Linked DNA regions of Stegostoma tigrinum. The protein of the gene in region 1 interacts with the protein of each later gene in a pairwise test. Links are inferred from orthologs where the notes say so. Each region holds a gene or a part of one and is shown on either strand. Other genes may lie near its edges.

Region 1 (7,604 bases):
CAAGCGACACAGTTCCCACCCATAAGACAAGCCACGCCATCAATCGCATGGCAGTCCAATAAAAGCAGGGCCGGGTTTTGTTCCCACCCTCCTAATGACGGTCAAACTTGTTCCACGTTCATTACACGGACGCTCGCGTCAGCACGTCGTCTCTTTGGATTGGGTTACTTTCCTGTCAATCACACGCAAAAGCCAAATAGAAAGCGTCAGGGGAGGAAGGTCACTGGACCTGAAACGTTAACTTTGTTTTTTCCGTCACAGATGCTGCTGGGCCGTCTGAACTTTCCCAGCAACTTTGTTTTTATTCCTGATCTATCGCATCTGCGGTTCTTTCGGTTTTTAGTAAGCGTTAGTAGTTTATTTTGATACTCCGTCCACAATCTGTTTGGGCTATACCACCGTCAATCATACATATCCGTCCAATCGTGGCAAAGGAAAGCGAGGTTATTGGTTTGAATTGGCGGGCGGGTGTAATCTTCCTACCGCTATAATAACATGGAAAAGGGATAAACACTTTTTTTGTGTTTATCGTTCACACCAGTAACAGCTAGGATTATTTTTAAAATTCGGAAGTCAGTGACAATATAATCTCTCAACAAAGAGGGAACCAAAGCATGAAATAATCAGGTGTGGACTTGGATGAACACAGCAGGCCAAGCAGCATCTTAGGAGCACAAAAGCTGACGTTTCGGGCCTAGACCCTTCATTCCGCCCCCTTGACCGGTCCGCCCTCCCCGGACTGACCTATCCCCGTCCTTACCTCCCCATCTACACTCACCTCTACTGGCTCCACCCCCGCCCCTTTAACTTGTCTGTTTCCACTCCACCTATCTTCTCCTGTACCATCTTCGATCCGCCTCCCCCTCTCCCTACCCGTTTTGTGATTGAAGGGTCTAGGCCCGAAACGTCAGCTTTTGTGCTCCTGAGATGCTGCTTGGCCTGATGTGTTCATCCAGCTCCACACTTTGTTATCTCGGATTCTTCAGCATTTGCAGTTCCCATTATCAATGAAATAATCAGATTATTTTCAGCTATTGAACGTTTTGTGCTTGCTGCTCTTTGGAGTGCGGAGTCTTTTTGATTTTATTTTTGGAACCCAAAGGTTTTATTGCTGCAGTTATGTGTACTGGCACCTGTGCAAGTTTCCACGAAATCAAAGGATGTAAGAACAGAAGTAGGCCATTCAACCAATCTTATCTGCTCTGCTACTGAAAGAAGTCATGGTGATCAGCTATTTCTCAATAATTACCTGCTTTCTCCCCATAACCCTTGATTCTCATTCTTTCCTTCCTATTCAGTACTGCTTCTTAGTTAAAAAGAGATCAGCTGCAGATATGTTCTGTATTTTCTGTTTACACCTTTTCTACACCCATCTTTTGTTTCTTGTCTTGTTGCTATTTCCTTTTGCCTTGCACAAACGTCCTGTTTTGTTACTTAATTTCTTTTGCATTGTTTTTTATTAGTGCAGTTGGCATACACTTTTTCAACACAGCCTTTAAAGTGAAGAAAATCAGAACAACCTTTTTGTGATTATGTATTTACACACAATTAAAATTTTCATTGACACATGAAAGGATTGCACCACCTCAATCATTGAAAATGCTTTGTTGAGGGAAAAAATGCTAAATTCAAAGTTCTAAAATATTTATTTGTGACTCAGTTCCTGCTTAGAAAAAGTTAATGTTGATAATGCAGCATTTGAATTTTTCCAGTGCCCATTTACAGTACAAAAACCAAAAGAACTGCGAATGCTGTAAATCAGGAACAAGAACAAAGTTGCTAGAAAAGCTCAGCAGGACTGGCAACATCTGTGGATGAGAAACCAGTTAACGTTTTGAGTCCAGTGACCCTTCCTCAGTCTGAGGGTCACTGGACCCGAAACGTTAACACTCTCTTCTCCTCCACAGATGCTGCCAGACCTGCTGAGCTTTTCCAGCAACTTTGTTCTTGTTCCCATTTACAGTATGTTTTATTTAGTGTATTATTTAGTGTAACAAAGTTCAGCCAACATTTATTTTTGATGGATTTAATGAAGTTTCTTTATCTGAAATTTATCTGGTCAAACAATTGCCTACTACTGTTTTGATTGCTCATTCCATCACTCTTTCAATTGATCCGAAGCTAAATGGTCAAATAATATAATTTCTTATTCAAATCTATTGACCATATGTTTGTTTTCAGATTTTATTACCAGAATAACATTTATAATTTTCAACTCTTAATTTCAGATGCTTACCGTTCTCTCAACTTCTTCCCAGTCCAAGCTCTTCAGCTTCTGTTTCCTACTTTCCACTTTCTCGGAACAACTTTCGTTCAGGGTAGAATTTTCAGAACTTAAGGTCATCACACTGTTTTGGTGTGTGTATCCTGGGGTTAGGTACTGCATAGCCAGTTGGAGAAAGTTGCTTTGAACAACTGGTACAGGGCAAAGAGCAAGAGCCAAGTATTTGGTTTTCAATATGGCAGTACCATTAAGAATTGGGGAGGGATCTGGCTAAAGTTATACCAAAACCAAGGTAAAAGGAAAATGCTGTAAACTCTGGAAATCTGAAATAAACAAAGCACTGAAGAAACTCAGCATATCTAGTAGCATCTTTTGGAGTGGGAGAGAGAGAGAGAGTTAATTTTGAGTCATTTTGGACTTGAACAGCTATTGCATTCTTTGATTGTATACTCATCTTTACAGAAACCTCAATTCCTGAATTCAAAAGTTCCTGCAGATAATATTTGAAAAACACAGCCAGTTTATCAACATGCATTAGGAAGAATCACATATTAGTGTTTTAGGTTTGAGCTCATTATCAAAATTATTTTGGATTCAAAAATACAATTTGAGCTTTCTGTTGCCCTATAGCGGAGTATTGGAGCAGAACTTTGACAGTATACATTTGTACATCCTCTGGACATTATTTTTACTTGTACCATTACCACTCCCTCTAGCTGTTACCCACAAAATCTTTCGTCATTTAATATATCTTGTAACCCCTAACCCATCTCAGACATTTTTGTTCTTTTTCCATTCTTCCTCTTTTCACCTTTCAACAGATACTGCATTATATTTCTAACCTTTTCCAGTTCTGTTGAAAGGTCACAACCTAAACTGTTAACTGTTAAATGCCTCTCTCTCTGCAGATACTATGAGACCTGCTGAGTATTTACAGCATTTTTTGTTGTTAGACTGGGTTTACATGTGATGATCATCCTCAATCATACTTGAGACAACAAATTTCACTTGAAGCTTTTAACTGTAAACAAATTATAAATTTTGTGCTTTTCCTTGGGGAACAATTCCAATTAAAATACTGATTGGTACTAATTATGTTTTTCTTGACCACTAGAGATTGTAGAAACAAAGAAGAGTGGAGTAGGTCATTCAACCCCCTCGTGGGCTGATCATTGGACTCAGTAGGCTAATCTCACCCTCTTCCCCCAAATCCCTTGCTCTCTTTAGCCACATGACTATATTTACCTCCTCCTTGAAAAGAATAATGCTCTTCAATTAGCTAATGAGAGGTATTTTTCATGTCTCAATTTTAAAATGATATGTCTTCTTCAGATTCTTTATATAATCACATACATGGTACTTAATTATACACTTTATAGGTTAATACAATGTGACTATCTAGTTCATTATTCATATGTTTTAGAATATAACTTTTGTTTTGGAAATTTGAGTTTAGTTGCAGATGAATGGTCCATCTGATTGAGAAACTGATATTCATTTCAACTAATTCAATTCAAACAAATTTGGAGTTAATGAGATAACAAGGTGCAGAGCTGGATGAACACAACAGGACAAGCAACATCAGTGGAGCAGGAAGGCTAACGTTTTGGGTCCTGAAACATCAGCTTTCCTGCTCCTCTGATGCTGTTTGGCCTGCTGTGTTCATCCAGCTCTATACCTTGTTACCTCAGATTCTCCAGCATCGCAGGTCCTATTATCTCTGTAAGCTTGGAGTTAATCACAATTAAAAGCTAACTTATGTTTATGTTGGAAGTGTAAAATTTAAGCAATGAATGAAATCATCTCATACTTTGTAATGGAGTCAGAAAGTTTGCTTTCTCTTCCCCTATTCTCTCTGCTGAAGGCACACCCATCTTTATTATAGACAGGTTCTGAATCCATCCCAGCTGGATGTGAATTAATTTCCATGCTTGTGGCACCAATTTGATCCATATGGAAACAGAGAGTCGGTCCAACCCTTCCACACCAACTAGATATCCTAAATTAATCTAGTCCCATTTGCCATCCCATATCCCAAACCCTCCCTATTCATATAACCATGTAGATTGCCTTTTAAATGTTGTCATTGTATCAGCCTCCACCACTTCCTCTGGCAGTTCACTCCATCCATGCGTGAAAAATTTGCCCCTTCAGTCCCTTGCAAATCTTTTCCTTCTCACCTTAAACCTATGCCTAAATGAATATTGATAAAACGGTAAGGAAACGGTCTGAGTGGGGAATGAATGGTTGGGGGAAGGACGCAGTGTGTCAGCTGACAGCGCTGTTGCGGTTGTTGCTAGGCAGCCGCGTCACGCCGAAGTTGGCACGCGTTAGTGACGTAGTCGCGCACGGCGGCGGTTGGTGGAGCGGGCCTGAGAACGGCCTGGTTGGATCAGTTTATCCCGACCCAGAGGAGAGACCCAGCGCAATGAGCAACCCGTTCGTCAGACGGACCCAGGACACCCTGGGAAAAGTGATCAAGAAGCCGCCACTGACGGAGAAGCTGCTTAGCAAGCCGCCTTTCCGCTATCTGCACGACATCTTCACCGAGGTGAGCGCCGACGAGTTCCCCGAGCACTGAGACAAGGCCCGGTGGGGCGACCCTGGTTGCTAGGGACTCAATCGCCTGCTCCGATCCTTAGTTGTCGCGCACATCCGCCCGGGGACCCGCCTTTATCACAACGCAGCCAACAAGGAATATTAAGTATCCTTGAGAAGCTTGTGTGCGGGTCAGTTTCCAATGTACCGTTTCTATGTGGATGGCTCAAATCCCCTACCTTTGGTAGGACAAGGACCCTCTTGTGGAATCTTTCAGTAGTTCTGAACGATGGCAGTATGTTTCTGCTCAAACGGATGCTTGTTCATGACAACAGGCAAACTCAACACATCTGGTAATACTCGTAATCAATCCTCTTCACAGTTAAGGCATCCGAAACACCGCTTTTCCTGTCTTGAGCTCAATTAAAGCGCCCTTCCTCTATTTCCCATATGCTTGCTGATCTACATTGTCTCCTGCACAAACAACGCCACGATTTTAAAATTCTCATCCTTTCAAATCTATTCGTGGAATTGCCTCTCTCCGTGGCCTCCTTTTGCCACATGATGTACAGGCTCCGCGCTCCTCTAAGATAATAAGATGCAGATGCTGGAGTGAGAAATAACATCGTGTGGAGCTGGAGGAACACAGTGGGCCGGGCAGCATCAGAGGAGCAGGAGAGTTGACGTTTCGGGTAGGGACCTTTCTTCCGAAAGGCTTCAGCGTCCAGCTCTGCGCTCCTTTAATTCTGATCTCTACTCTTTCAACAGCTCCAGTGTTGATTGCGCAGCCATTAGTGGTTGCGTCACGGCTGCTAAGACTTGACGTTCTGGAAGACCATCCTTAATCTTCTGCACCTTTTATGAATATTTTAGCTGGCTGTTTGGCTCTGCAAGTCTATTCCAATATTCAATAACATCAAAACTAATTTGGTGTGCCAGCAACTCCACATTCACCTGTACCAACCTGGTAACTTTTGATCCTGTATTAATCTAAAATCTCATCATCTGTCTAAAATGAGAGAGCTCCATATTTTAAATTGTCCCCCATAGTTCTAGACTCTCCCATAAGGACAAGCATCCTTTCAACATTCCTATCACTTTCTTTCTCAAAACCTAACGCTTTGACCATTGCCCTAATATTTTATGTGGCTTAGCATAGAGTTTTGCTTTGTTCCTGTAATGCATCTTTATTGCTTTAAATGTGACATATGTGACTGGTGCTGGTTCTCGACTTCCATTAACTATAAAAATGATGACTGAAGATTGATTTTTGCCCATGTAGTGCCCTGCACACAATGTACTCATTGTTCCATGTATACTTAGAACATAGAACATAGAATATGGAACATTACAGCACATTACAGGCCCTTCGGCCCTTGATGTTGTGTCGACCCGTCATACCAATCTAACCTACACTATTCCATGTACATCCATATGCTTGTCCGATGACAACTTAAATGTATTTAAAGTTGGTGAATCTACTACTATTGCAGGCAAAGCGTTCCATACCCTTACTACTCTCTGAGTAAAGAAACTACCTCTGACATCTGTCCTATATCCTTCACCCCCCAATTTAAAGCCAGGCCCCCTTGTGCTCGCCGTCACCATCCTAGGAAAAAGGCTCTCCCTATCCACCCTATCTAACCCTCTGATTATCTTATATGTCTCAATTAAGTCACCTCTCAACCTTCTCTCTAATGAAAACAGCCTCAAGTCACTCAGCCTTTCCTCGTAAGACCTTCCCTCCATACCAGGCAACATCCTAGTAAATCTCCTCTGCACCCTTTCCAAAGCTCCCACATCCTTCTTATAATACGGTGACCAGAACTGTACGCAATACTCCAAGTGCGGCTGCACCAGAGTTTTGTACAGCTGCAGCATAACCTCGTGGTTCTGGAACTCGATCCCTCTATTAATAAAAGCTAAAACACTATGCCGCCTTAACAACCCTGTCAACCTGGGTGGCATCTTCACTAAAACTTAACTTCGAGTCATAGAGATGTACAGCATGGAAACAGACCCTTCAGTCCAACTTGTCCGTCCTGGCCAGGTATCCTAAATAAATCTAGTCCCATGTCCCTCTAAACCTTTCCTATTCAAATACCCATCCAGATACCTTTTAAATATTGTAATTGTGCCAACCTCCACAGTTTCCTCTGGCAGCTCATTCCATACGTGCACCACCCTCTGTGTGAAAATGCTGCTGCTTAGATCCCTTTTACTTCTTTCTCCCCTCACTTCAAACATATGCTGTCTAGTTTTGGACTCTGCCACCGCAGGGAAAAGACCTTTAGCTATTTACCCTATCCATGCCCCTCATGATTTTATACACCTCTGTAAGGTTACCCCTTAGTGTCTGATGCTCCAGGGAAAATAGCCCCAGTTTATTCAGCCTCTCCCTGTTGCTCAAACCCTCCGACTCTGACAACATCCCTGTAAATCTTTTCTGAACTCTTTCAAGTTTCACAACATCTTTCTCATAGCAGGGAGACCAGAATTGCACACAATATTCCAATAGTAGCCTAACCAATATCCTGTACAGCTGCAACATGACCTCCCAACTCAATGCACTGACTGATAAAGTCAAGCATACCGAATGCCTTCTTCACTATCCTATCTACCTGCATCTTCATTTTCAAGGAACTAGGAGCCTGTACTTCATGGTTTCTTCATCCAGCAACATTCCCCAGGACCTTACAATTAAGTGTATAAGTTCTGCCCTGATTTGCCTCTCCAAAATGCAGCACCTCGCATTTATCCAAATTAAACTCTGTGCTATTCCTCTGCCCATTGGCTCATCTGGTCAAGATCCTGTTGTACTCTGAGACAACCTTGTTCGCTG
Region 2 (7,380 bases), on another chromosome or scaffold:
CACCAGAATGTGCTCAAAGCATCGCTGAAGAAGTCAGACCACCCCCCCCCTCCCGCCAAACACCAACCCCCCTCCCCACCATGGCTTATGATCGTTTGAGGCAGAGGAAGTTCGTTCAGGAAGGCCCTGAGCACCTTCAGAGCCTTCCTCAGGAAGGTGCTCAGGTGAAATCAAGGTTTTGAGGGGCTGCATAAACTTGCCCACACATCACCCCCAGACTGCCTATCACTCCAAACCTTCGCACCACACTCTACCCTCCCCGGCCACCCAATTAGGGTGTCCGCACATCCTGGAATGGACTTTAACAGGTTTGAAAGGAAGACAATGACCACCCACTGGATCTCTACAAACGGCTCTCCATGTCCAACAATGAAGGCCAGAAGTATTGTGTAGGCTTCTGTCAAAAAATACAGATGAGAGCAGTAATAGAATCCCTGCAGTGTAGAAAGAGGCTATTCAAATCTGTACTGACCCAGCAAACCATCCAGACCCAGCTCTAACCCCATAACTCTGCATTCCATGACCAACCCACCTAGCCTGTACATTCCCAGACACTACAGGGCATTAGCATGGCCAATCCACCGAGCCTGCACATCTTTGGAATGTGGGAGGAAACCAGAGCACCCAGAGGAAACCCACACAGATACAGAGAGAATGTGCAAACTCCACACAGACAGTCGCCCGAGGGTGGAGTTGAACCCAGGTCCTTGGTGCTTTGAGGCTGCAGTGCTAACCACTGAGCCCAGTGATGAAGAGAAATAATGAACAGAAGTTCTGGCATAATGGAATGAAATAGTTTTTAATAACAAATACTTTATCAGCGCATTCAGACATGAAAAAGAATCGCATATGCTCACTCAGGTATTCACTCGAAAATTCAGTCGCGTCTCTAATTGTCTCTGTATTGGTCACTTCTTTTTTGCTGCAATTTTATTCTGTCTAAAAATAATTCTGATTGCCAATAGCAGCTAACCCTTGACTCTTATTTCCTTGCAAATAAATGGAAAATATTCATGGGCTGACATATGTAACTGGGAAAAGTGTCTGGAAATAGCTCCCAGCCTGACATTGCTGAGTGTTTGGGAGAAAACCCAGAATAGCACAATCTAATCAATTTCAGAGATTTTCCGGGCAGAAGGTTGGATTGTTTGTTTATGTCACAGGACCTTTTGGCTTTAGAGTTAATAGAAGTTTTTTTTAGGAGAAGCACAGACACTGGTAGAGCGCTCAGAATGTTTAGCCTGAGCAGTTAATGTTTGAGGTCAGTTTGTTCTAAAGTTTCCCATGTGTCAAAATGACCGCAGCATATACAAGGGGATGGCCAGGAATTCTCTCAAAGTTGGAATTACAATTTGGAAGATTCATGCTTTCACTTAATGTAACAATGGTTTGGGTCGGAGATTTGAACAAAGGTTGTACTGGTAATAATCTGTTGTAAGACACTCTTAAGCTGCTGTTTGGTCAGGAGTGATCTGTAATGGAGAATGAATCAATATGGGTTTGTGAAGCATTTATCCAGTGACATGTAGATGCAGTTCACAGGAAGAGAAGGAGGTGTTCAGTCTTTCGAGTTTGTCTCTGTCACTATTTAGTGAGATTACCCTGATCTCTGAGTTAAATCCATGCATCCATCTTTGCCAAACCTACCTTAATGCTTCTGGCTAAAATCCAATCAGTCTCTGATTAATAAAATTTAACAATTGACTCAACACTGGTTGTCTTACACTGAGGGCAGTTCCAAATTTGTCAAAGATAAGAAATAAGAACAGAAGCAGGCCATTCAGCCCTTCCCTGCCATTCTATAAACTTACAAAAACTCTACAAATAAATTAAACCCCAGGCCTCAACTCTTCCTTTGTGCTAACTCCTCAAGGCCTTTATCTCCCCAATATTTCAAACACCCATCTCCAACCCTTTCACACACTTCTGGCGATCTAGCCTCCACAGCTCAGAAGTGGAGAATTCCAGGCATTCACTACCCCTTCTGAGAGAAGACATTCCTTTACAAAATTCCCTTCCTTCCTAGTTTGATATTCCCCTTGTTGTAGAAGCTTCTTCTGAACATCTACTTATCACGACCCCTCATAGAGGTCATAGAGGTCTACAGCACAGGAAAATGGCCCTTCAGCCCATCAAGTCTGCCCCAGTCATAAACAAGCACGTAACCATTCCACTCCTATTTTACAGCACTTGGCCCATAGCCTTGTATGTTTCAATAAAATCACCCTTCATTCTTCTAAACTCTAATAAATAAGGGTCAAACTTGTTTAATCTTTCCTGATAAGCCTCTTCTTTTTAAGATTCACCAGAGAGGTTTATCCTGTTAACCATACAAGCTCGTAGACTCTTTGTAGAAAGGAGAATTGGTGCAGAATGTTAACCTAAAGCTTCCCTGGCATTGGTTGATTCTTTAATGCATACAACAATCAACATTGTACGGGTACATGAATCAGGGAAGGGTGGGCAGGCTGGATCTTGTCTTTCTAGAAAAAAGAAAGCTGTAAAGTGAGCTAACGGAACTCTGTAAAATGATGAAAGGCAATAATAAGATAGAGATTGTTTCTTCTTGTGGAGAAGAATAAAACTAGCAGCCATCCCCTTTGAACAAGGTGCAAGGAATCCAGTTGGCAGCACAGGTCGCCAAGGTGATGAAGAAGGCATGTGGCATGCTTGCCTTCATCAGCCAGGGCATGGAGTACAAGAGTTGGCAAACCATGTTGCAGCGATTATAAAACCCTTTGTTAGGCTGCATTTGGAGCGTTGTGTGCAGCTTTGGTCACCACACTACCAGAAGGACGTGGAGAGAGCGCAGAGAAAGTTCACCAGGATGTTGCTCAGTCTCAAGGGCATTGGCCATGAGGAAGATCAAAAAAATTCGTATTGTTTTTACTGGAAAGATGGCAGCTGAGAGGTGACCTGATAGAGGCCTACAAAATTATGCGAGGCGTAGATAGGGTGGATAATCAGAGGCTTCTTCCCTGGGCTGAAGTTTCATTTGCAGTGGGGCACAGGTTCAAGGTGAGAGGGGAATGTTTAAGGGAGATGTGCGAGGGAAGTTGTCACACAGAGAGTGTAGGAACCTGGAAAGCACTGCCAGAAAAGGTGGTGGAAACAGGCACATTAGCGACATTTAAGAGGCTTCTGGATGGTTACATGAACAGAGAGAGAACAGAGGGATGCGGTTCGAATAAGGGCAGGTTTGTTTTTTAAGATTAGTTAGGCCACTTGACCCGAAACGTTAACTTTGATCTCTCTCCTCAGATGCTGCCAGACTTGTTGAGCTTTTCCAGCAACTTCTGCTTTTGTTTCTGATTTACAGTATCTGCAGATTTTTGGTTTTCCTAACAGAAGTAGATTTGTTGGCCATTTTGTTGGTGGGAGCTTGCTATGTGCAAATGGCAACAGTTCACTGGTTATGAAATGCTTTAGAACATGTATCCGCTAACAGTGTTGTACAAATGCAAATCTATTTTATTAATAACTGGCGGTAAGATTAATATTTACTTCTTTGAAATCTTTGCCTCAGAAATAATTACTTGAAAGAAGATTAGAGATTTAATTGGAAATCGTAATTGGTTTATAACGTAATGATAAAAATCTTTAATAAGCAGTGCACATACTCTTGTAAAATTGCACACTATATATTCTCCAGGGCAAAACATATTGACAGTTGATCACCAGATAATAGTGACTTTCTCGTGCACATGTCAACTTCATTTTCACATAAGAATGTCAATTATTTTTCCTCCCTAGTCTAGATCTGCTCTCTATCAAGTGAACATGAAACAGAATATTTCAGTTTCAACTTCTGGTTATCTTAGTGTTTGAAGCCAGTGGCCATCTTCAGAAGTGGAATTTCATGTAACATTTCACGGCCAATATTTTAGGAAATGTCAAAGTTGATTGGCCGACAGGAACAGGAAGCAGATGATGATTGAATGCAATTAAGAAAGAATTAATTTCAGCAACCAGGCTGTAACGTCTTTACAGTGAAAGCGATATGCCATTTTCAGGTTATTTTGTAAATGAGATTAATCTCGAATGCAGATTGAGAACAATCTGTTGGCTCTGTTTTACTGGGGCTCTGTGTATACAAGGTACTTGGTGCCATTGACCCTAAATAGTAAAATGGAATGTCAAGGGAATGTTGGCAGAAAAACAACGTTGAGAGTTAATTTTTCCCGAGACACAGTTCTGGCAGTCACACAACCCAACTGAACTCATTAGTGCTTCTTTCCTATTCAGAAAAGAAGTGAACATTGGGAGTAGCCTTTTGTTTGTTATGACAGACTTGAATGAAGGCTTTTTCTCATCTGTGTAACTTGAAGATGTATTGCTGGACCTGAAGTTGCACTGTGTTTGTACTTTCTGGACAGCACACTCCTGAGCTCTCTGAGGAGCACTTCTTATGGGAAAGAAGAAAAGTTGATGTTGGCTTCATCCCTCTTCCTTTGGCTCCAGAAACTGCAAAACCAAGTAAAAGCAAAACTTTTGAGTGTCGTTTTCAATTTGCAGTACTGACAGGGGAGCAAAACTCAAGAGAATCATTTTGAACTCGACGGGGTTTCAATTGTGATTCAATGGCTACAGTTTTGTTCAGCTTTGAAGATTTGCTGTATAACTGGGATAGTCTGGTCTGGAACTTTACAGCCCGAGCTCTGAGGAATTGGCGGTTTGGTAATCTCCGTGCAGTTCAGCTGCTCCTGAGACCATGGTGTGTCTCCCGGAATGTTTACCAGGTGGGGAATTTCACTTAGTACCAGAACTGTACTGACTGGCTATGCTTAGGTCAATACTGTGTTAAACACAGCACAGCTTCTGCAAAGCCTACCCTAGTACTTATTTATCGAAAGGGATATAGACTGAATTTTAAGAATTAAAAATAGCATATTTTGCTTAAAGTTCATTTGAGGCAGGGGGCTATATTATTGAAGGTACAGTCTGCTTTAGTTTGTTTTACTTTATTGCCTTGAAGTTAGTTTGCACTGTATGTAAAAGACTTTAGCAAGTAAATAAATTCTTAACAGAATCCACCTCCTCCAATTTAAAGTCTGATGGCCAATAGTGATAAAATACATGTGGAAAGTCAAAGCTATTTCAGTAAATCGACAATCTGAAATTCAATTTTTTTTTGTTGAACCTAAAGCCGAGGGAGTTGGTAACGGAACAGCTGAATGCTGATCCTGGAATCTCTCACACTTTGCAGGTGACCCTTCTCTGAACCTGAGATGAAGGCTGGGGAGGGGGAGCTGTGGTCCATGGGAAGGTGCTATTACTGATGGTGAGGAAGCCATGGATTGGGACAAACACTTCTGCTCCTCTCCACTCGCCATTAGCGATTTAAAAACATGCATTGAACCCCTCCGCTGACAAATATATATTCATTCCTGTACCCTTGTGAAAGAATGTTTGTCTCGGCTTCAGATGAGTAAATGATAGGAAGCTTGCACCATGTAGCCATGAGCCGGTTTCTGCACTGTGTCCTCACTCAATGAAGGGAATGGGGCATCAGTCAGAGCAGCATCTTCTCAAGTCTTTGAGACACCAATTTTCTGACTTCAGGCCCTCGGTCACATAACGCAGGGTTTAACACGTGTTAATTGGCTGGAGACAACCCCTCAAGAATCTATTGGAAGGAGGTTGGATAAAATTGGGTTTTATTGCAGCCACTTTACATGCTTAACAAAGGTCAGCAGTGTCCAGTTTCTGCCGCCAGGTATTGACCATTTGAAGATGTGCATATGCCTGTTAAATACACTGCAGAAGGAGCAGGGACCTGAGCTGAAAGGTCCTCTACACATCCGGAAGTATTGGTGACATCTTGCATTGTCAAGCATCAAACCATAGAAGGGTCCCTGGGTCCTGTGTCCTCTGTTTGTCAACGCAGAGAGTGCTGGAGAAGCTCAGCAAGTCTGGTAGCATCTGTGGGGAGAGAAGCAGAGCTAATATTTTGAATTCAATATGCCTGTTCTTCAGAACAAACTGTTGTTTTCTCCACTTGAGATAGAGATTGTCTCCCACTTCAGTTTCTGGTAGACAAAGAAAGCTTGTAAAATCCTGACAGTAATTTCCTTGAAGATATCCAGGAGATACCCTCTAAAAGAGGGTTACAGATAAAGCAATCCCACTTGCACTGCAAACGTAACCCCTGGTTCCTGCAGCTCAAATGGGAACACAAAGTGACATCTTCTTTCAGTACACAATATAAGCAAATCAATTCCTCATCCATTAGTGGATAGTCTGCTGGGAAGCTGACTTTGTTCTGATGATAGCCTTGCACCTGGTCTTCATTCTTCCACATTTACTAAATGTTAAAGTCTTTGTTTTCCTGCTAATCAAGATGAAACAAGGAAGGAACTTATAAAATGCTTCGGGTGACTGTCAGTGCAGAGTTTGCACATTCTCCCCAGTGTCTGCGTGGGTTTCCTCCGGGTGCTCTGGTTTCCTCCCACAGTCCAAAGGTGTGCAAGTTAAGGTGGGTTGGCCATGGGAAATGCAGGGTTACAAGGATAGGGTAGGGGGCTGGGATGGGCCTGGGTGGGATGCTTTTTGGAGAGTCAGTGTGGACTCGGGCCGATTGGCTTGCTTCCACGCCATAGGTATTCTGTGATTCTATGATCTGTGGAAGTAAACAGAGGCTTTTAAAATTTAGATGCTAAGGTGTTTGCTTAAAATTCTATATTGCTGAAACAAATGAAGCGATGTTTGAATTTGCAAGAGCAAAAAGAGCTCATAAAACGTATCATCCAGAAAAGAAAATGTCAACACTTCGGTTGTTTGATCAAAGCTGAGAAGCCATGGAGATGGTTTTTGAGGGTAAAATGCAAGGCAGCTGAAAGAGAGTTAGACCTTAGCATTTTTGGATGATGATATCACAGGACAGTTCCAGATGAGCTACAATGGAGTGTGAGGATGGGGTAACCCAGGCAGGTGTGGCACCACGACAGCAGATTTCCTGACAGGAACAGAGCAGGATGCTGCTGTAAGTGAAAAGTGCAATATTACAGTCCATCTACTCTCCTTGGACCATGTCCTCTCAGGTCCATGTACTATTGGTATACATTGCCTCTGTTCTGTCCCCATTGCTGGTTCTCAGCTGCCTCGCACCTCAGACAAGTTCACACTGTTTGGTTTTTGCTGCTGCTCAGCGTTAGGGATGTGATTTTCAATCTAGTTGGCCGCACCCCCCCCCCCCCCCCACCCCCCGCAACTTCTTGGATTGAGTGTTCCCCTCTTCCTTTCACAGAAAAGAGAGAGAAGGCTTCTATTTCTTTAACCACAGCTGCATTGTTTGCTGTATCATGTCCCCTTATTTGCTGTCCAAGATCTCTATGCTGTTCTAATTCCTGCCTCATGAGCGTCTTTGATTCTTTTTGTTAA

Evidence for each region. The genes of interacting proteins can lie anywhere in the genome.
Region 2: the proteins of traf3ip1 (region 1) and frmd4a interact in a two-hybrid assay, tested with the Homo sapiens proteins (2 studies listed by BioGRID and IntAct). The link is inferred for Stegostoma tigrinum from reciprocal best matches to the Homo sapiens genes TRAF3IP1 and FRMD4A.

What each region holds. Positions count from the first base shown.
Region 1 is NC_081360.1:20,757,339-20,764,942, forward strand, and holds the start of traf3ip1 (TRAF3-interacting protein 1), read left to right. Parts: upstream 1-4,567; 5' UTR 4,568-4,652; coding exon 4,653-4,775; intron 4,776-4,788; exon of another isoform or gene 4,789-5,115; intron 5,116-5,121; exon of another isoform or gene 5,122-5,454; intron 5,455-7,604.
Region 2 is NC_081378.1:4,102,990-4,110,369, forward strand, and holds the start of frmd4a (FERM domain-containing protein 4A), read left to right. Parts: upstream 1-4,309; 5' UTR 4,310-4,580; coding exon 4,581-4,739; intron 4,740-7,380. UniProt on the Homo sapiens protein: Scaffolding protein that regulates epithelial cell polarity by connecting ARF6 activation with the PAR3 complex. Plays a redundant role with FRMD4B in epithelial polarization. May regulate MAPT secretion by activating ARF6-signaling.